Lonchura striata: one gene and its partners. The protein of the gene in region 2 purifies or fractionates together with the protein of the main gene of each other region. This does not show direct contact. Links are inferred from orthologs where the notes say so. Each region holds a gene or a part of one and is shown on either strand. Other genes may lie near its edges.

What was found.
Region 1: the proteins of LIG3 (region 2) and APTX purify together in Homo sapiens (affinity purification with mass spectrometry; 3 studies listed by BioGRID and IntAct, with this or other methods). This does not show direct contact. The link is inferred for Lonchura striata from reciprocal best matches to the Homo sapiens genes LIG3 and APTX.
Region 3: the proteins of LIG3 (region 2) and TDP1 purify together in Homo sapiens (affinity purification with mass spectrometry; 4 studies listed by BioGRID and IntAct, with this or other methods). This does not show direct contact. The link is inferred for Lonchura striata from reciprocal best matches to the Homo sapiens genes LIG3 and TDP1.

The regions. Positions count from the first base shown.
Region 1 is NC_134642.1:48,009,882-48,017,131, forward strand, and holds the start of APTX (aprataxin), read left to right. Parts: upstream 1-4,168; 5' UTR 4,169-4,169; coding exon 4,170-4,351; intron 4,352-4,385; exon of another isoform or gene 4,386-4,386; coding exon of another isoform or gene 4,387-4,517; intron 4,518-5,184; coding exon 5,185-5,321; intron 5,322-6,022; coding exon 6,023-6,069; intron 6,070-7,250. Other genes in the region: dnaJ homolog subfamily A member 1, read right to left, coding at 2-116, 1,467-1,694, 1,791-1,895, 2,961-3,138, 3,250-3,381. UniProt on the Homo sapiens protein: DNA-binding protein involved in single-strand DNA break repair, double-strand DNA break repair and base excision repair.
Region 2 is NC_134622.1:6,057,900-6,065,499, reverse strand, and holds the start of LIG3 (DNA ligase 3), read left to right. Parts: upstream 1-4,551; 5' UTR 4,552-4,657; intron 4,658-4,863; exon of another isoform or gene 4,864-4,895; 5' UTR 4,896-4,914; coding exon 4,915-5,455; intron 5,456-5,934; coding exon 5,935-6,051; intron 6,052-6,892; coding exon 6,893-7,090; intron 7,091-7,461; coding exon 7,462-7,600. UniProt on the Homo sapiens protein: Isoform 3 functions as a heterodimer with DNA-repair protein XRCC1 in the nucleus and can correct defective DNA strand-break repair and sister chromatid exchange following treatment with ionizing radiation and alkylating agents.
Region 3 is NC_134608.1:17,272,539-17,279,539, forward strand, and holds the start of TDP1 (tyrosyl-DNA phosphodiesterase 1), read right to left. Parts: upstream 3,083-7,001; 5' UTR 3,001-3,082; intron 2,417-3,000; 5' UTR 2,413-2,416; coding exon 1,866-2,412; intron 446-1,865; coding exon 402-445; intron 1-401. Other genes in the region: EFCAB11 (EF-hand calcium-binding domain-containing protein 11), read left to right, coding at 3,273-3,299, 4,228-4,336. UniProt on the Homo sapiens protein: DNA repair enzyme that can remove a variety of covalent adducts from DNA through hydrolysis of a 3'-phosphodiester bond, giving rise to DNA with a free 3' phosphate.

The sequences.
Region 1 (7,250 bases), on a different chromosome or scaffold from region 2:
CCTTGTAAATACAGAGTGGTCTTTCTGATCCAAGACAATAATAATATCCCCTGGTTCCAGACCTGGCTCTTGGTCCCCTTCACCATGGAATGTTATTTTCTGGCCATCCTTCATTCCTATTGTACAAAACAAAGAAACCATTTTCTTATTTTTAAGATAAAAGCAGCAACAACTAACACTTTTACAGGCATGAGCTGGTATCAAGATATCTCTGGATCTTTAAGTAAGAACATCAGGATCTTCCCTTGAAACTTTTTTTTAAAATCCATTCACTTATTTAACAGATCTTAGCAGTGCTAACATGAATGCAGTCTCAAAACCATCAGGTTTAACTGCACCGACAAAAGAGCTACCAACATAAAGTCCTAAAGGGAAATATAATCAAAACAGTTTTCATTATACACACAAGTACAAAAAGGAAATCAAACACTGTGTACAAACTTTATTTCAACAGCAGTTGACCAGTCAGCTTCTTCACTTTCATAAATATGTAGCGCATCTCCTTATGAAGAATGATCTGATTGCCTGCCAAGTCCAAGAAGCATTCCCTATGGACTGAAAACCTCCCATAAGAAACTTGTTTCACCCACACAAGAAATCGATTGAACAAAAATACTAGCTTTCTTATCCTACATAAATCTTTTCCCTTACTTCTATAAAAACATCCTTCTCATAAGACTTCCCTGTTCAAAATATCAGTAATACATCCCTTCTAGACCTTATATTTACTACCACTATGGATCTCCCCTACAAATTCAGGTGCTGCAGAAGCTCTGCTTACACATGTAACAGCTGCAGGCCATAATCACAAGCAAGACCGTTTAAGTCATGTACTTGTCAGCGTGCTCTGCCTTACAAGCTGCATTACTCCAGACTTCTCCCACCAGCTTTTGGGCAGCCCCCTCAACAGAGATGCATTTGTCATTCAATACCATTCCGTTCACCCATCACGTTGAGGGTTTGTGTATTGAGGTGCATTTTGCCAGGCAAGGAAGTGGTACCTGCATTGGGCAGCACTGTCAGGGCTGCGTAGTCAACAGAGCTTTAAGCATGAGAGCCTTAGCACTGTCTGTGCACCCTGCCACTATAGCAGACCTGGCTCCCCTTCACACTGAAACACAGCGGAAGTGATCAGTCTGCAGTTTTGCTGCACGCAGTGAAAATTGATTGTGTTACCTGATCACAAATTGGGCTTAGAGGGACCTGAAAAATAATTCACTTCTTACAATAACGCAGGTTTCAGAATTCATTCTTAGTTATGTGCCAGGCTTTAGAAGTGAACAGAGATAGTGGACCTTCCCTAGAAAATAAGTCTACTTTTGTAAGGCAGCAGTAAGCAATTTTACTGTGTATTCAGCACTATTACTCACAAAATCAACACCACATTTGCTAAAGCTTTTGTTTTAGTGCTGCAAAGTCAGTCAGTACATTCAAGTTCAATACTTCACCTCAGTAAGACACCTCACCTTTGTCAATGTGAACTTCCAGTATCTTCTTCTCTCGAACAATTTTTCTGCCATTGCAGCTCTTACACCGGTCCTTGGGGCTGATACGCTCCCCATGCCCCTGACACTCAATACACACAGACTGGATCTGCTGCACCATTCCTGGCCCAATCTGGTGAATTCTGATCTGCATGCCTGTTCCCCTACAATTAGGGCAGCATTCTACAGCACCTTTCTTACCACCACGACCTGAGAACAAAAAATGGAGTTAGGTGGTTATGTGCTACCAGAAAAAAATCCCCCAAAGCTTTAGAAACATCTCTTTAATTTCAGTTTCAACATTACCTTCACATTTGTCACAGATAATGTTTTTCTGCAGTGCAAGTTTCCTCATCGCACCATTGTACATATCTTCTAAACTTACTGACAACTGGTGGACTACGTTTTTACCTGTAAAAGAACAGAACTTAATTAAAGTTTAGAAGCTTGGTTGGCACATCTCCCTGCCAAGCCAAGATAAACTAAGTCTCTGGGCTTCAGTATCTTGTATCGATAGAGGTTTGTCTTGTTTTGCTTGTATTAGTCAAAAGCTTCTTCCCAGGTGCTGTCATATTAGGTAACAGTTGTCATGACTTTGACTTTGTTAAAGTCAGAAGAGACCTTCTGGAAAAGTACAAACAAGTATGAGCAACAGAACACACAGAACCTCAAACGTTTAAGTTTTATAATGCAGGACTCAGGTTTCAACAAAGTCACCAAAAAGATCTACAAACAAGGCAGAGACTCTGTTTGGAATCTCCATTTCAGCACTTCCTTCCTCTCACCAGGTGACCTTCTGGAAGCAAAAATAAGCAATTATATTTTTACCCTCAAGAACTCCTTAGCACTTCAGCTGCTGTAGGCCTAGTTTTGTAAATGATGCTGAGCTCTGGGTTATTACAAGTACTTTGACACTCTTAACATTTTGATACAAAACATTTTTTCTTCATCTTTTCAACAGATCTTCACTAAGAGGTGACAGGCTCAGCACTGCTCTTAACAGCTTTAAAGTTTTTCCCAGCGTGATTAAACTGGAGTTTAACTTCTGGGTAGCATTTTACCGCAGTTTCAACTTAATTCCACTGCACAGTGCAGGAACACAGAAAAATTTCACAGACTGAACTGGATCTTGATATCTGATTTAGATAGTTGCTTTTAGATACTACAGTTACAGTAACTTAATTAGTAAACCATTTTAAGCTACTTTACCCTTCCATTTCCTATTTTGTCTACTAGCAGCTGGGCTTACACTCAAGCTAAAAGTACTCCGAACACACCTGCTTTAGCGATTAACAGGGGACAGTGCACAGGGATACCCAACTACCACCACACCAACCAAGGGCCCTCCCTTGGTGTTTCAGGTGTTAAGGGACAAGAGTTTTCTCCAATTTTCAGATTAAGTCTATAATTTCTGTTTAAACTCCTACATCTAAGGCATTCCCCTCAGAGAATCTGATACCCTCGCCAACACGTTACCTCGCCTCTCCCTCTGCATCCTTCCTCCACCGCCGAAGAACATATCGAATATGTCCATGGGTGACCCGAAGCCGCCGCCGGAGCCACCCTCCTTGATAGCCTGTTCGCCTCCTTTGTCATAGAGCTCTCTCTTCTTCGGGTCCGACAGCACTTCGTAAGCTTGCGAGATCTGCTTGAACTGCAGAAAGAACAGCACCGGCACTCAGGCACCCGCGGCACCCCCGGCGGGCCTCCCGCCCGACCCCTCCCGCGCGGCCCCCCCCGCCCCGGCCCGTCCCGTCCCGCCGACCTTCTCGCCCTCATTGGGGTTCTTGTCCGGGTGGTACTTGAGTGCGAGCTTGCGGTAGGCCTTCTTCAGCTCCTCGGCGGATGCGTTGGGCTTCACGCCCAGCACGTCGTAGTAGGTGGTCTCCTTCACCATGGCGGTGGCGGCACGGGGGTCCCGGGGCGGCGGTCGCGGATCCCACTCCGCGCAGCTCCGATCCCGACTCTTCTGGAAAGTTCGGGCCGGGCCCGCAGCCCCGCCGCTTCAGCAGCCGGCCCCGCCCCGGAAGTCCTGCCCCGCCGCGCGCAGGGCCCGGGCGAGTGGCCCACCAATGGCTGCTCAGGAGGGGAAGGCGCTTGGCCAATCTGCGCCCGCCTCCGCCGCCGATCTGGAGCGCGGCCCCGCCCCGCCCCGCGTGGGCGGCGCCGTCCCTGCCCAGCGTCCGCCTCGCCTTGCGCCTGCGCCGTCGGCCGCTCCCGCCCTCGAAGGCTCTGAGTAGCACCGGGTACGCAGCGCCGGCCCGGCCGTCGCCTTCCGGCAACGCTCCGCGCCTTACCCCCCTCACCCTACGCAGACTTGGCTCCGCCGCCGCAAGGCCGGCCGGCACTGCCCCTTTGTGAGGGCCCAGCGCCCACCCCCGGGTGCGCGGGCCCAGTGCGCCTGCGCGGAGCTACGCGCCGCGGCGGGCGCCTCCCTCTAGTCACGTGGGAGACACGCTGCCACAGCTGATTGGCTGCAGTGGCGGCTGCGGCGGCGCGAACATCACGCGCGCGGTAAGGGGGAGGGGTCGGTCAGGCGTTGCCATGGGAACGGGGCCCACGGGGATGGGCGTGTTCCCGTGGGGATGGGCGTGTGCCGTGGGGATGGGCATGTTCCCGTGGGGATGGGCGTGTGCCGTGGGGATGGATGGGCGTGTGCCGTGGGGATGGGCGTGTGCCGTGGGGATGGGTGTGTGCCGTGGGGATGGGCGTGTTCCCGTGGGGATGGGTGTGTGCCGTGGGGATGGATGGGTGTGTGCCGTGGGGATGGGTGTGTGCCGTGGGGATGGGCGTGTGCCGTGGGGATGGGCGTGTTCCCGTGGGGATGGGTGTGTGCCGTGGGGATGGGCGTGTTCCCGTGGGGATGGGTGTGTGCCGTGGGGATGGGCATGTTCCCGTGGGGATGGGTGTGTGCCGTGGGGATGGGCATGTTCCCGTGGGGATGGGTGTGTGCCGTGGGGATGGATGGGTGTGTGCCGTGGGGATGGATGGGTGTGTGCCGTGGGGATGGGCGTGTGCCGTGGGGATGGATGGGTGTGTGCCGTGGGGATGGGTGTGTGCCGTGGGGATGGACGTGTGCCGTGGGGATGGGTGTGTGCCGTGGGGATGGACGTGTGCCGTGGGGATGGGTGTGTGGCATGCCAGCGTTAGACTGGGGACCGAGCCTTGCTTTCCGCAGGCATGAGCTCTCCAGTGCAGAGCTCATGAGGGATCTTTACCAGGGTCAAACTGATGTAAGCTTGAAGGTTACATGGCATGGTCCGTGTGCTGACTGTTGCTGGATGAAGCTGTCACAACTCTCTCATCATGTGTTGTCTTCTGCTGCTCTCTCTTATTTTGGTTGTTAAATTAATCTCTTCGGTGAACTCTGATTCAGTGGGAAACAAAGTGACGTTTTTTGTGGTTAGGCTCTTCTGTCAGATGGAACTGTCAATAAAATTGATTTTTCCTATATATGGTTCACAGATGTGAGAATGTATGGTAGTGTAGGAAGGAAAACAGTATTGCCCTTTCAAACAGCAACCTGCTCTTGGATTATGCAAGTGCTGGTGACATGGTTTGCTTTGCATTTCAGAAACTTGAACCAAGTTAATAGAATTGGCTAACCTAATGGTAGCAGAATTCATGGACCATGTTCCACAGCAAGGTAGCCCATCAGAAAGTGGCGTGTTGGTAACACACTGTTTATTTTGCTCTATAGCACAGTGATGCGTATGTGCTGGCTTGTGAGCAAAGAGAAATGCACTCAGCGGGTGAAACTGCCACACTTGGAACCTGTGGTAATTGGGCGTGGCCCAGAGACTGGGATAACAGATAAGAAGTGTTCACGTCAGCAAGGTAAGGTGATTTAGCTCAAATCCTGCTTTCCACGTGCAGCAGCAACTGAGCGTGCCTTGTTCCTCTGTGTGTTCTGCAGTGTTGCCTGCTTCTTGAAGTCATCAAGCCTTTTTAATAAGCACTTATGGGGATCTCTGGGGCCTACAAAATCAGAGACAGGACGTCCGCCTCCACATACAAAAGCTTTTTGTGAGTTCCCAGGCCCACAATTGTGTTTCACTGCTCACTTCATGAGCAGCACTTCTTCTCCCTAGTATTCCACCAACTGATTTTTAGCATAATTATTATTTAATATGTAAAATAATGTGATCTTGGAGAATATATGAAAATACCTATCACTTATTTAATACTGCACATCTTCCCTGTGTTATATTCTGTGCCTCTGGACACAGTCTTGCTCTATGCCTTATTGTCCCAGTGGGCTGGTTAGAATGTCAAGCATATGTATAAATATCAACAGAATCCACCTTTGTTCCAAAGTAATTCCACCCTTGGCTCAGTGTATGGGTTGACTCTGTTTTACCTGTGGTATGAGAAGAGGTATGAAGAGATGAGGCAGAAATATTCTTGGCATGCATTCACAAAGATTAGCTCCAGAAAGATATGGCTCTTCAAAAAGAGGAGTGTTTTCTGGACTGGGTGGTTCAGCAGAGTTCTTTTTATTTACATGGTTTTGTGACACTTTGTTCTTTCTTTTCCAGTTCAGTTAAAAGCAGACTGTAACAAGGGTTATGTCACAGTTAAACAGGTATGTTTTTATGCATGGATCTCCAATATTTCTGGTACTGGGACAGTTGTACTTAACTCCACAACTGCTCCAAGTGGTGATTCTAATCACGGTGTCTGAGGGACCTGAAGTTTTCTTATCACCAAGAGAAGTTACAGCAAGTGTATTTTCTTATTTGTGCACCTCAGTGAGAGGTTGCACTATTCATTCCAGATACATTCCAGTCTAACACAGCCAGATTTGTAGCATCAGGGAATGCTGTTGTGAGTACTCAATCAGTTCTGTTGGGTGCTGCATTTGAGAGACTTTGGACTTCTTCTACTAAACTTGCTTATCTTTTTCCTGAGCCTTAAACTTCATAAGCTGAGGCAGCCCTTTGTTTAAGGTTGAAGTTCTTGTGTTAATGGGACTATGCAGTTGTAGAACATTTTTATTGGTGGACTGATAGGGCCAGAGATGTGGTTACTTATAGGAAGGGATGGGATGTAAGACAGCCCTGCAGGAATGTTACCAGATGGATGGAGGCAGGCCTATTCCCTCACACTTTACAAAACCCAGTCTCTGAGAGAATAGGAAGGGAAAGGTCTCTGGTACTGCTGCTTGTGTGTGTGAAGAGTTGCTCCCCAGGTGAGAGATGTGTGGCACAAGGTTCCAGTGATCAGTTGTTTGATACTTTATTCACTGATGGGAAGCATCCTTGACTTGAGGGAAACTGCATAGCTGTAGACTAAAGAGATCCTGGCTGGAATCAGGTGTGTGCTTCATTGCAGTGAATTCCAAGTGAGAGGTATAGTACTGTCTTGTGAAGCATGCAGGTATGGCAGTGACAAAGCTAGCAAAAACTCTGAGTTCATCAGTCACAGAAGAGAGCTGATTTCCTAAAACCCGTTTTGTGCATATACATTAACCAAAAGCATTTTGCTGAAGACTCCTAATTTTTGTAAGGTCACCTACATGATGATGCAAAATCCATCTGTCAAGCAATCTCTGTAGGTTGCCTACAACACAGTTTGATTGCACAAAAATAATTTGCTAAAACTACAGTTGCTCTTCAGAAATAGTTGCTGTTGTTACTTCATGTAACAGTTGTTACAGTTGTTACATGTAACAGTTGTAACTAGTTGTTTCATAGGTGTCTAATTTGTGAGGGAAGTGCAGCACAAGTGATGCTGTAACTGTGTAGCTGCTGCAGACCCAGGCTC
Region 2 (7,600 bases):
TCACTGGGGTTATTAAAATTCTAAATATCTTCCTTCTTTTATTTGATTTTAGTGAGATTCCAGACATTTTCTCAATACCAAGAAGATTGGATTCATTGGAATATAACTCTGACAGAAGTCTTGCAAGGAAACTTTAATTTTAGTCCAAACTCCATTAATTTAAGATATCCCTAGAAGATCTGGACAAGGTGAACCTTTTTTTATGAACTATTTTCAACCCTGGTTTAGGATGAAGCTATTTTTTTTTTCCTTCTTAACACTGAAGAAAAAGCCTAAAAGCAAAACTTGAGACCATTATTTTGCTTTCATATATATCTTAATTCCTGACAGAACTCCTGATGGCCGCTTTGCTTAAGCAAGGACAGACTTAGACATTTAAATCTGACTTTTTGGGTGTTATCTTCCTGCTGCTAGTGGAATAAACTACTTAAAACAGAGTTCTGCTTTCGTGGGTGCCTCTCTACTGCTCTGTCATTGCTGCCTTTTGCATAGAGAGCACATTATGGTAAGAGGCTCAGCTCAGCAATTCCAGTATTTGCTACCAAGGGAGACTCCAGCAGTGATTTCTCCCTGATCCTTGGTGAAGGAGCAGGGATTTGTCTCCTGATTTTCCATCAGTGAACTCAGTGACCTGTGGTTTTGTGGATAGATTCACTGGACATATTGTTCTACTCACAGCTTTTTGAAGGTACATCCAGCCAAAAGGGGAGTTGAAGGAGTTCATTCCAATAAGACTCTAAAACCCAAAGTATTCACAGAAATCACAGAATGACTAGATTGGAAGATACCTTCAAGATCATTAAGTCCAGCCCAGCCCCAACACCTCAACTGAACCACGAAGTAATGTTAATTATTCCCCTTGCACACAAACCTTCCCACCCACAATAAGAACAGTGGATTCACATTGATTTCAGGGGAAGAATGTGCTTGCAGAGAACATTTAGGAGCAGTGACCAAAATCAGGGCCTGACAGGCCACTTGGAACTTTCTTATCACTTCTTAATGCCATCTCAGAGCTGTTAGCCACAAAAAAAGATGATAAGATCCAACTGAAACAGGGTAGATTTACAGTAGATATTGGAAAGAAACTGTTCCCTGTGAGGGTGGGGAGGCCCTGGCACAGGGTACCCACAGGAGCTGTGGCTGCCCCATCCCTGGAAGCATTCCAGGCTGGGTTGGACAGGGCTTGGAGCAACCTGGGATAGTGGAAGGTGTCCCTGCCCATGGCAGGGGGTGGAACTGCATGAGTTTAAGGTCCTTTCACACCCAAACCCTTCTATGATTCTACAAAGAAACAAGGTTCAACTTTCTACCAATTCCTTTGGAGCCACATTAGAAAATCAGCAAAATTAATGCTCTGGGCTGCAGAGTCTTCATCTCCTTCTCAAGAGGAGGAAAACTGGCATTGAGAGTGCACCAGCTTTGCTGCTGTCATTCCCAGGCCTCTCCAAAACAACCCAAACCAGCATTTGTGTGTGTTTCTCAGAGAGGAAATTTATCTAAAACTCCCAGTTTCTCACGGCAGCCTTCTGCCACCTGCCTGTGCTCGCTGCATCTCTCACTGCCCGGCCATCAATCTCCAGTCCTGCACCACTCTGCAGAGGGGCAGCCTCCTACTCCCCTCCTGTCCCTGCTGCCATGCAAACCCCTCCAGGCTGAAAGGAGCCAGCAGCAATTCATCTCACCTCATTGAGGCTTCTGAAATGTTTCTCTGCTGCCTGAAGGCTCTGCCTGTTTAGCTCATTTAGCTGACTTTTAGAGTTAGGGCAGCAGATCCCACAACTGCCAGGTTGCTCAGTTGCCTTATTTATTATTATATATCATTTAAACCTGATCATGAGGTGCTGCAGTGTCAGCCCTTGCCTTTCCATCTCTTTCACCAGGCTCACAATGAATGGGACACCTCACCACGGTGCCATGAACTCTGTGCTCCCAGCAAGCTCTCTCTGAACGCTGCACATCACAGCATCTGAACACCTCATCTTCACCTGGTTTTTGTTTTCTTCCCCTCTAAAATCCCTGTGTTCATACAAATTCCTGCACCCACTCACTGCTGGTTCTGTAAATCATTTCTCAAAGCAATCTGAACTACTAAAAATCAAATCACATTGAAGTCACACATTAAAATTTTAATCCAAATGCACTCAGCCAAAAATCTGGAGCGTGGTGGTCATCTGGGTGCCTTCCACATAAAGTCCAGAGCAGGAAGACCTCTGTGAATCCCTCTGCAATTCCTCTTTTGTGACTCAAAGCTCCCAGTTGGATTTGGTTGGATGAGCTTTCTTGTTTCTTTGGTTTTGCGGTTTCCTCCACTTCTGAGCCATGAGGGACAGGAAGGTTCATTTCCATCATGAGCTTATGGATTGAATGCATTGCCTGAGAGTAAATATTGCAATGTAAAATATTGCAAATGAATGCAGGCTGTCTGTGCACAGCCAGATCCCAGTGATCAGAAATGCCTATGTCGGATTTCATCCCAATTTTGTGACCAGGCACAATTGTTACACTCACTCCCAGCTCCAAACAGTGTGGTTTGTTTGATGTGCTGGGGAGAAGACTGCCTGTAGCTTGCTTTAAAACCAGCTGGAGGCCAGCAAAAAGACAGATATGTGGCTGGGGAAGCAAATTCTCTACCTTATGTCTCATTCTGCCTTTGAGGTCAGAGACTTGGCCATGTCAACCCACACAGCATCCTTTCCACGGATGAAGGTAGGAATCCAGTGGAGCTGTGTACTGCATCTGTTCCAGCCTCCTCAGCAGCCTCCTGGCACAGCACAACAGCACTTCCACCAGAGGAACAGGGGTGGCTGCCACCAGCAGAGAGCCAACAGCTGGGCTGCAGGTGTGTGTTTACCTGTACTGGGATGAAGGGCTGTTCTCAGGAGCCTGGGGTGGTACAGCAGCACCTCAAACCCACACAAACACAGTGCAAAGGACAATTTTAAGAGATTATAAGGGCAGCACTTCAGGCCTGTGCAGGTACTGAGGGCCCAGGTGATATGGCAGCATCTCAAACCTGCACCAGCATGGCATAGTACCCCTGAAGGGACAGCTTCATGAGGCTGGGGATAAAGCAGTGGCTCAGTGCACAAACACGGTGTTAGAACTCTTGGAGGGACCACTTCTATGGCCAGGTGATCCATCAGCACCTCCAAGCTGTGTTAATGCAGCACAGCACTCTTGGTGAACCAGTGTGCCTCAGCCAGGAACAGGGCACCGCTCACACCTGCCTTTTCCAGTACTCTGGAAAAGCCAACTTTGGCAGGTCGGGAAGTCATCATCACCTCAGGGCAGGGGACACTGCTGCAGTGGAGTCAGCCCTGTGGGGGGGACCAGCCATCACCTCAGGGCACGGACCTGGGACTGCCTGAGGCAGAGACCCTCCATTGCCGCAGGTGCAGAACCCCATTGCCTCACGGCACAGAGCGGGGCACAAACCCTCCATGGCCTCATGGCACAGAGCGGGGCACAAACCCTCCACTGCCTCATGGCACAGAGCAGGGCACAAACCATTGCCTCACGACACAGAGCAGGGCACAAACCCTGCATTGCCTCACGGCACAGAGCAGGGCACAAACTCTCCACTGCCTCATGGCACAGAGCAGGGCACAAACCCTCCACTGCCTCATGCACAGAGCGGGGCACAAACCATTGCCTCACGGCACAGAGCGGGGCACAAACCCTCCATTGCCTCATGGCACAGAGCAGGGCACAAACCCTCCATGGCCTCATGGCAGAGTGGGGCACAAACCCTACATTGCCTCACGACACAGAGCGGAGCACAAACCCTCCATTGCCTCACAGCACAGAGCAGGGCACAAACCCTCCATTGCCTCACGACACAGAGCGGGGCACAAACCCTCCATTGCCTCACGGCACAGAGCGGGGCACAAACCCTCCATGGCCCCAGGCGCTGTCCCAGTGCCGCCCCACAGCACGGACCCTTCCCCACCTCGGGGCGGGGAGCCGCTGCCAGCTCAGGGCACAGTCCCTCCATCGATCGCCTCATGGAGGGGGAACTCTCCGTTGTCCCAGGGCGAGGACCCGGTGCCACCTCTGGTCCTGGTCCCAGTCCCGTCCCAGGGCACGGACCCAGTGCGAATCCAGGGCACTGGATTCTCTTCCTGGCCCCAGGTGCGGTCCCGGTGCCACCTCAGGCACGGACCCGGTGCTGCCCCGGGCGCGCTCCCGGTGCCGCCTCAGGGCACGGACACTCCCTGGCCCCGGGCGCGCTCCCGGTGCCGCCCCAGGGCACGGATCCGGTGCTGCCCCGGGCGCGCTCCCGGTGCCGCCTCAGGGCACGGACCCGGTGCTGCCCCGGGCGCGCTCCCGGTGCCGCCTCGGGGCACGGACCCGGTGCTGCCCCGGGCGCGCTCCCGGCGCCGCCTCAGCCGCGCCCGAGGCGGGAAAACGCTCCCGGCGCGCGCTGGGGGCGGGGCTCAGACGGGCCGATGGGGCGTGGCCTGAGCGCGCCCCCGCGGCCGCCGCTCGGGCAGGAAGGGGCGGGGCCGGGCGGCGCGCGCGGCCCTACGGAAGCCGGGCCGGCGCGCTCGTGTCCCGGCGGCGGCTGAGGCGGCGGCCCCGGCCTGAGGGGCTGCGGGCGAGCCGGGGGTCCGGACGGGGCGGGGGACGGGATGGCGGCACCGTGAGGAGCTCGGTGAGCGGCGGAGGGGCAGCGGGAGCCCGTGGTCGCGCCGGGGAGGGCAGGGCGGGAAAGCGGGCTCGGGGCGAGGCTGTGGCGGGAGAGGCCTGGGAGCGAGGAGGGGGCCGTGAGGGGCCGGGCTGTGGGGCAGCGCAGCGCGGGCGGTGGCGGCCGCTGCGGAGCGGGGGTGAGGGCTGGGTTGGGCGGGTCCCGGCGGGCAGGGGGTGCTGAGTGTCGCCTGTGTCGCTCGCAGCAGCCTCGGCGCGGACTGGATGCCCGCGGGCGGCCGGGCGCTGTCACACGCCGCCCGCGCTCTCGGCCGGGCCGCAGCGCTGCTCTGCCCCCGCCCGCAGCTCCCCTCGGCCGCAGCGTTCTCCCGCTCCGCCGGAGGCAGCCCCGGGTGCTGGTGGCAGCTGCTGCTCCAGCCTGTCCCTGTGCCATCCCCGAAGCAGCGCGGAGGTGCCGGCGCGTCCCCGCTGCCGCTCCCGCTGTCCCCGCTGCGCTCGGCCTGCGCGGCCGCGGAGGACATGGCAGAGCAGCGGTACTGCGTGGACTATGCCAAGCGAGGCACGGCGGGCTGCAAGAAGTGCAAGGAGAAGATCGTGAAGGGGATGGTGCGCATCGGGAAGATCGTTCCCAATCCTTTCACCGAGTCCGGAGGGGACATGAAGGAGTGGTACCATGTCAAGTGCATCTTTGAGAAGCTGGACAAAGCCCGGGCCACTACTAAGAAAATTGAGGATATCACAGATTTGGAGGGGTGGGAAGAGCTGCAGGATGAGGAGAAAGAAACAATCAACAAGTACATCTCAGGTGAGGCACGAGGCAGTTCCAGGGTCACTTTCCTCCTTATTTTCAGGTTATGCCAGAGGTTGTTACCAGCTGTGCCTTTGCCATTAAATCCTCGTGGATTTATTTGTGTGGCTTAGGGACAAAACATGTGCTGCTGTTCCAGCCCCTGCCTCAGCTGTGTAAGAAAGGGAAGAAATGGTCACTTCTGCAGTGACACTCCTCAGTTCGTTTGTCACAACTAGTTCTGGACAAGAGCTATGTGATTTATTTCATAAGCAAATAAAACCCATGGTGAATCATCAGTTATTTTCCATTTCCACATTTTTCTGTGATCTTTAATAAATTACATATTCTTCTAACTTTTGTTACCTGAAAAACATCTTTTTTTTCTCCTCCAATTCCCATTTCTTTTAAGGCTTTTTACTTTGTAAGCCACATAATATGGTGAGTGATGTATGAGATTATTCCTGACTGCCTCTTTGAACCTTTCTGCTTTCCAGAAGCCAATTCCAAGACTGGAGGTACCCCAAAGAAAAAGGTGATAGTGCAGGCAAAACTCACTGCCACAGGACAGCTGACCACAAAAGATCCACCAAAGAAATTCTCTGGATTCAGTGGTAAGAATTAAGAAATGGTTCTGAGAAATTCATTTTTTTAGTCTCAGCATCAAGAGGTGTTTCTGCTTGGCTCAGATCAGTAGGTTTTTATCTATAGATGATTCTGGTTTGTCAGTGCTTTCTTAGGCTGTCAGTCTTGAAAGAACATCTTGAAAGATGTGTGGATCTCCAGTTTTCCCAAGGAAACAAAGGTTCTGCTATGACCCACATTGTCAGGCTGACTGGCTCATTGCAGTCAAACTGAAGACATAGGCTAAAGTTATCCCACGTGGAGCTCAAAATCTGGAAAAAAACTGCTGAGGGATTCTCAGTTGTGTTCATGGAAAACTTGTCCTGAGGAGCAGGACAGTCCATCTTCCATCTGTGAGCTCTGACTGACCTGACACCCACCTGGAGCCACAGCAGAGCCAAAGACATCAGTTCCTTAGGGATTGGTGTTAGGAGAGGATGGGGATGTATTCCCCAATTTTAGAAATTACCTTAGAGAAGTGTTTTGCTTTGAAGGCTAAAAACCCATAAAATAGAAAAAAAAATCTCTAAAACAGAGGCATCTGGAAGGAGAAATTAATTTTCACCATGACTTAGCCATACTTTTCTGGTAGAACCAAGATCTAGGAAATTCTGGTGTGATGTGAAGGGTAAAAATAATTGGAAGGTTTTTATAAAAGTCATAGTTGGAAGGTTTTTATAAAAGTCATAGTTGGAAGGTTTTTATAAAAGTCATAAATTTTAGCTCTGAAGCTTCGCCAGCACACTGGGATTGTTCCCAGCTTGCCAGGCAGAGATAATTTCAACATTTGCTCCGTGTTGTTAAAAACAACTTGTGGTGTGTTTGATGCAGCTAAGCCCAAGAATTCAGAAGATGCCCCTGCAAACCCTGCCCAGAAGCCCAGCCTGTCTGCAGCCAGGTGTGATCCCAAGCACAAGGACTGCCTGCTGCGGGAATTCCGCAAGCTCTGCGCCATGGTGGCTGAAAAGCCAAGCTACAATGTGAAAACTCAGATCATCCAGGACTTCCTCAGGAAGGGATCTGCAGGAGGTATGGCTCCAGCTGGGAATTCTCAGCTCTCTCAGAATCAGTTTCAAAGGCTGATCTCTAAAGGAAAGGGGAAATTCAGATCTGTTGTGTGGTCCTAGCCTTGTGCTGTGGTGATTTCTGAACTGTGGTGGTAATCTTTGAAAAGTGAACTCCTTAAATAGTAAATTCAGACAAAAATTACTCACTTGGGTGCTGTAGGTGCCAAATTTAGTGCTGAGGTCAGATTTAGAGGCAAATTGTGGCTATTTTCCCTAAGAATTCCAAGCTACAACTGTGGATTTTATCCCCAGGGTTTGGACACAGCCAGCCAGAGCCTGGACATGAAAATAAATCCTCACTGCTATAATGTGCTTTTTTTTTTTTTTTTCCAGATGGTTTTCATGGTGATGTATACCTCACCATTAAGATGCTGTTACCAGGTGTCATTAAAATAGTTTACAACTTGAATGATAAGCAGATTGTAAAGCTGTTCAGCAGGATTTTTAACTGCAACCAGGAAGAAATGGTCCG
Region 3 (7,001 bases), on a different chromosome or scaffold from region 2:
ATGTAAAAGCTTAGGTTGAAGGATCATCTCTTTGCCATGTGTTTATATCATCAATGATAGCAAAACTTCTAGGCAATAACAAAGATATTATTCCTAAATTGCAAGGTGTTCTTTCTTTCAAAAATCCTCATTTATATGAGCATAAATACATGCTTCTCAGTTTCACTTTCCTCAAAAACTGGAGAAAGTAGTCTTATAATTCCCTGAATTCTACAGCAGATCATAGGACAGTGTTTATATTCAGTAAATTGTTCAACAGTTGAAAATATTTAGAATTCCCTCTGTATTTTAACAAGGTTCCCTGTTAATAGCAGCTATGTAGCACAAGCATGGATTATCAAGTTTAAGATTAATGAAGTGAAGCAAGCAAGTGAAATCAGTTTGGCAAACAGGAAACTCACCTGGGCAGAAGATACGAGAGTTCCAAAAAGAGGAGACAAAATATCTATTAAAAATATTAAAGCACAAATAAATAAAAAAGACGTCAAGTAAATGTTTTGCATCTTGAACAGCTTGATACCACAGCAAAAAGGCCAGATTGTTCATAGACCTGGTGTAACAGAGGCATTCACAAGTTTACTGTTCTAAGTATTCAAGTCACTGACTCCCCTGTGAATCATTTAGGATCATATCCTTACAAAAATTAATAATCCTCTCAAAGTATTAAACAAGTTTTAAAAGCTGATAGGGAAAAAGTTCAACAACATCTTGAGAAAGGGCCATTAAATTACTCTCTCCACTATTGAGTGGACTTGAAGAACTGTGGCAGGGTGGCAGCAATAAGGGCATGCTTATTTAAGTATTAAAAGCAATAAGTCAATGCTTATTTTATCTGCTGCAGACTGACTGTGGGATATGTGTATTCATAGTTCAATCACAGTAGCACAGGAAACTAATCCAACTGGGGATTTATAACCACAACTGAAGCTGGTTTAGCTGGTTAAACAAAGAATATTGCCTGTCCACCAGCTCAACTAATCACCTAGCAGGACTCCCAGGACAGGACAGTCCAAAAGCCACAAATTCACAAAGCATATAAAAACATCCTGGACTAAAGCTCTAAAGTCCCTCACGCCTGCTTGTGCTAGTAGGCATGAGGTTGAGGAAAAGTTACAACCTAATTGTATATATAGGTCTTAAGTAATTTCTTCTCCCTCAAAGAACTACTATTTTTTTCTGCTTTATTTTATTGTATTTCTGTACACAATTCTCTTACTGATACTTGTTTCTGATTCTGTCTTGTGATGTATAAAATTTTATTTCTAACTACAGGGATGTTTAAAGGTGCACAAAGCTCTTCCCCCAACATCAAATGACAACAGAGCATTCCTAAAGCATCAGTATTGCACACCAAAGGCTCCACTCCATCTTGACTGATGGACAGCTCTCTCACAGCTGAATTTAAACAGATACATGAACCCCAGACACAGAACTTCAGAAGTACTTCACCTATTAATAGTGAATTATTAGGTCCAAACCAATCAACAGCACAGAGGCAGGTGCAAACAACTACTCAGAGTTATGCACCCAAGAAAAGCATCCCTTTAAATGCCACAAGTGGTTTTCCCCAGACTAGCTCATAAAGAAAGCAGCAGTAAGAAGCAGCATGATTTGTCTTGGCTAAATACACTTTATATTTCTGCCGCCTAATTCAAGTTACAACAAAGTATCAGCAAATAATGTTTTATACCTCTGAAAGAGAAAGGCCCAAATAAAAGAAACAATTTCTATGAACCAGCCCATTTAGAATATGAAATATCAGCAACACTAAGAAATACATGCATTTAAAAATACCCACAAACCAAAAATAAGCATTCTCTTGCTTTCTCCCAAAAGCCCTCTTCTAGTAGAAGACACTTGCTCACCTTTTATGTGCAGGGCTCCAGAATTATAGCTCTGTTCAATTCCACTGACTTTAGTGAGAAAAAACCTGAAAGGATTGCCTCCAGTCACCAAATCCCAGGTATCCTGGGCTTCACTGGGTGTTACATTATACTCCTCTTCTTTCAGATTCTCCGAGAGTTTGTCATCTTTGCAAAGATTCAGAGGATGCTCTTCAGGCATATCACATTTTTCTTCTTTCACTGTTTCTTTGTGAACATGCTTTTGCTGATCTTCAGGCTCTTCATCGCTACTAGAAAGACACCAACCTGAGCCTTCTTGGCTTGGTCTCTGTTTTACTGCTGGAGGTGCATCTGTAGAAAGACTTTTATCAGTGAACTTCAGGGGAGAAGTTTTTCTCTTGAGAGCAGCTTTCCTAGCTTCAGAGCATGGATATTGTGGTCCACTTGTTTTACCACATGTAGCATCTGATAGTGAAGATGTACATGGTTTTTCACTGTCAGAATTTTCATCAGCACTTTCATCGCTGCTAGATACTGTCCATTTACCGTGTGCACCTTCCTGAAGCATGTTCCTAGGAATGAAAAAACACCAAACAAAAATTGTACGTTTTTGCTACGCTCAAGTCTGTCTCCCTTCCTACCTCCTACTTGTTTATTACTTAAGAACCGTGCTTTGGTATTTGGCAGGTTCTCTGGGAAACTTCATACCGTACACGACTTGTTTCTGTGCCCGGGAAACAAAGAAACACGTGCAATGGTGGCAACCATCAAATGGGAAGCAGCAAATGTGAAAACCAACACATGGAAAGCGGGATAAGACACAGACTCCTATGAGAAAGCACTCCAAAAATCAGAGGTGCGAGCTGCACGACACAGGTATTTCCCCGCGGCTGAGGCGTCTGCTGAGCGGATTCAGGAGCACGGGGCGGCCCCGCGGGAACCCTCCGGGACCGCGGCCTTCCTCCGCCGGCCCCGCGCCCGCAGCGCGCCCCTCCGCCGCGCCTCCCGCCGAGCCCCGGCGGCGGAGCCCGGCCGCGGCCGCCCCGCAGCGAAGGCAGCGCCCGCGGCGGCGCCGCGGCAAAGAGCCCCGACAGCCGCTGCGGGGCTGCAGCCCGCCGGCCGCCGCCAGCACTCACTCACTCACTCACTCACTCACCCCGCTCACCGACCGCCGGCGCCCGGCAGCGCCCGCGCAGGGCAGCGAGAGCCAGAGCAGGCCCGGGCCCCGCCCGCCCGCGCCGGCCCCGCCCCGAGCCGCCGGAGCGCGGCCGCCGCGAGGCGCTCCGGGGCCGCCGCGAGGCGCTCCGGGGCCGCCGCGAGGCGCTCCGGGGCCGCCGCGAGGCGCTCCGGGGCCGCCGCGAGGCGCTCCGGGGCCGCCGCGGCAGGGCGGCCGAGGCTTGGCGAGCTGAATTATTCTAACCAGCCGTCATGGACCTTAATATTAATTATGGGCAGGTGCGGAATTTGCATAATGGCTCGTTCGGCGCGGTGTTAATTACTGTATCTGAAGTGCCCCGCTAATGAGATAAGTGCGTGAGGAGTTCGGGAAGGAGAGGGAGGAAAGCAGGTGTGATATTAATCAAAGGAGGAGCGCGGCCCGCATCAAAGCGCGCTGCGGTGAACTGAGCGCTCGGCTCTCCTTACTCTAATTTGTTGCAAGCTTGTGGCTGCAGTTAACAAATTCTGGAAGTGCCAACACGCAATGAAAACGGCAGGTTACTCCAGGAAAAGCTTTCCTGACAATTCCGCTGGTTTGTGTAATTTTCTCAGTGCTTGTCCGCAGAGTCGTACGTAACTTTTCCCTGAAATGTTCTGTGGGTAAACCCTTTGCTGCTGTACGATATGATGCTGTATTGTTAACCCTTCCTGAAGGTGTTCTGTGGGAAAAGCTCTTAGGAACGTTGGATGGCTTTGTATGTTCTCTGTGTAGTCTCTTCTCTTTGGAAATGTTTTTTTGTTTTCTGCAAGTACCTCAGAAAGTTTGATGGCTTCTGACTATGCTTTCATTGCACTCTCTCCTTATAGTTCCTGTCTGTGTGGTGACTTAACTGAGAATTAAAGTTATCTGGCATTTTTCAGGAAAAAAAAAGTATAGTCTGCTAGAAGGAAATTTCATGTGATTTGTTTCCTATAAGTCTGTACTATGTAGTCTAAGTTTGCAAAAAGCTTTTTCATCATAAGCACATAAAATGTAATAGTATGAAAAATTTTATTTTAACCTAAAATCCCAAACTGAATGTGCTCCCACTTTCAATTTTACTGGAACAGAGTAGATGAATAGAAGTGATTCAACAAGTGCCTCTTTTTTTCCCCCATAACAGTTTTGCAAAATAAAAAATCCTAGGTTAGGTTTATTGGTTTTTTTATGTGAATCACTTTCTTTCTGCAGGATTTTGAAGTGTGCAATGAAGATAGCAAAGGCTATTTAAGCAGAGAAGACTCTACAGTTGGTCTGGTAATGGTTTTTTTTTTTTTTCTAGAAACCCTCAAAGGTATATACTTTTCCATTTATGTTCTGAAGATCCAGCTTATAGATGTCTCACTGTTGAAAATACTATATATTGACTGGCCTACACTAACTGGAGTGGATTGCTGTAGATGTGGTAAACAGAAATGCCTACAAACCCTAAAATTAATTTTCTAATTTGCACATATTTATTCCAAAAGAAAATAATCAAAACCCTGGCTTTTCTGTTGAAGACTGTGATCAGTAGAAAGTTGTATTGTATTTCATATGTGTACAAGATACATAAGTGACTTACTGAGCTTGTTACTGGTTTTTATCAGTGGTACATTCAATTTTATTCAGTGGTCTCAGTAACTGTGAAACTGCTACATGTCCCAATAATAAACACGTATTCTCAAAAATATATCTGGTTTTGATTTCAGGTAATAGTTAATAGTTGGACATTTTTAGGCATGACTTCTCAAATGTAAATCTACAGCTCTATAGAAATCTTAAGAAAAGAAAGATTAATTGAGAGAAATAATGTGTTTCCATACTTACAGGAAAATACAGGATATATTGTATGGCTTGATGTAGTTTTAGAAGTAATATTTTTACTCAAGTAAGTACAAGTGAATTAAAAAGAGTATAAAGAATACAAAAGATTTCAGAATACACATAGTGTATCTGTGAGTCTGTCTTTCTCATGGCATGTCAATAAATGAGACCAATTACTATAATGTGTATTATATATATAAAGTATGGAAAGGCTGAATCATCTTTCTTCTCCAGCTTGAGCAATCTTCTTCCCCAATGACTGATTGCAAATAATTACTTTTATTATTTTTACATTAAGCACATAGTTTACAAAAACTGTCTTGATAAGGTCATAAGCAAAATTGTATCTATGATAATTTAGTAAAACCCACAAAAATATTTTAGTAAACTATGAAAGTAGTAATTTCTCATATATTTCAGCTGTGGGTAAACATTTTTTCAATGAACTGTGGCCAGATCTAAAAATGCTTAAGGCTTCTGATGTGAGTCCTAACTATTGAATTATGAATCTCAAACTGCTCAACTTCTTCCCTATCTATCTTCTCCTAGATATTTTTACTATATAAAAATTAAGTGTTCTGTCAAATTCCCTGAGTGTTTCTTACAGCAGGAGTACTCAAAACATGCTTAAGGCATTTAAACAAGAGCAGGCACTGTGCATGAGTCACTGATGGCATCTCCTTGGAAAGAGAATACAAATAGAGGACTCCTGGGAAGACATGAGATGCAGGTTTAGTTATTTCTTCCTGAAAAGGTGCCAAATCACACCTGCTGTGGCTTTAGGCACTACTGTGACCATTTGGTCTGTGCAGCTGCACAAAAATTAATTAAGAAACCTTTGTTCTAGGGCTGATTCTGTCATCTAGTGGTTTTGCTAGCTCCTTAAGTGGGCCCAATTCCAGCAACTGTTGCCCTTTACCCAATTACTGCTCATTGTGAAGATCTCTAAAAGGTCCCTGGGGAAGCAGATACTTTTCTTTTTGTGGCTTCTGCTAGTGTGCATTAGGCAAGGTTTGTAGCACAACCACATGTTTTGCTTTTGCTGATGACTGGGTCCTGAGTGTGTTCCTTTCAACGTGCGTATGGTTTTTAATCTGGTTCTGAGAGACACAACTTTCACTGTGTACCAGAGAGGAACCAAATGCAGATGTTGCAATCCTAAAAGTTAATTGTTAAGATCCAGTTCTTGAGCATGTTATTGTGCGTATTGCTTTGTTGTCAAAATTAACAAAATCATAGGCTAAAGGAACAGCCCTTCTATTATTTTGGAAATGGTTAAGAACATCCCTGGCAAGGAGAGTCCTTCCAATTGTTTTTGCAGGACATGGGGAATAGTGTGCATACATTATTTCTTAAGGTGAAACTGTTTTTCAGCTGCACTACATACTAACATTTTTTTTTTCAGTAGAAATGGCAATTGCTTAGCATCATCAACTGCAATCAAGCAATCGAATTTTTAGTAAATTGTTGCTGCTTTTTTTTTTTTTTTTTTTTTTTTTTTTTTTTTTTTTTTTGGTCGCGTTTGCCTTTATTCTGTAAGTTAAAAGTAATACTAACTTTACCCGCTAGATGTCATGAATGAACTCTTCCTTGGAAAAGGTGAGCTCTAAGAATTTAAATCACATTCCTGCTCCGCTTGATTTTTCTAAATAATTTGTTATAACAATGCTATATTGTGAGTAAAATACTATTTTAGTGTGGTTATTAATAGAAATTTGAACTTTATATAATTTTAGTGTTTATAATTAAACCTTCTGAGGCAAATAACTGGGAAAAAATGTAAACAGAGATTAAACTCATTGTTGAATGGATATTGTATGTATGTCTGCATATAAATACTGTCATTTCTGGGAAATAGCAACATTGTAGGAATCATGTCTATGTGACTTTTTTTTCATTCTCTGTCAGTTTGGTTCAATGATCCTCTTTTCCCCAAAACTATTTAAAGTCATCTAAAATGCTCTTATATTTCAGCAACCATTCAGCTAACTAGCTGCTAGCATTTCATCTTCCAAATGAAAAGGAGACTTCAGGAATTGTAGTCATTAAAATACATCATTTCCCAAGCTGAAGTTCCCTTCCTGGTAGTGTTACATTTAGATCTAACTAAAAGCACTCTCTACAGTGTTCCTGAGAGTCCAGGCCCCCAGTGT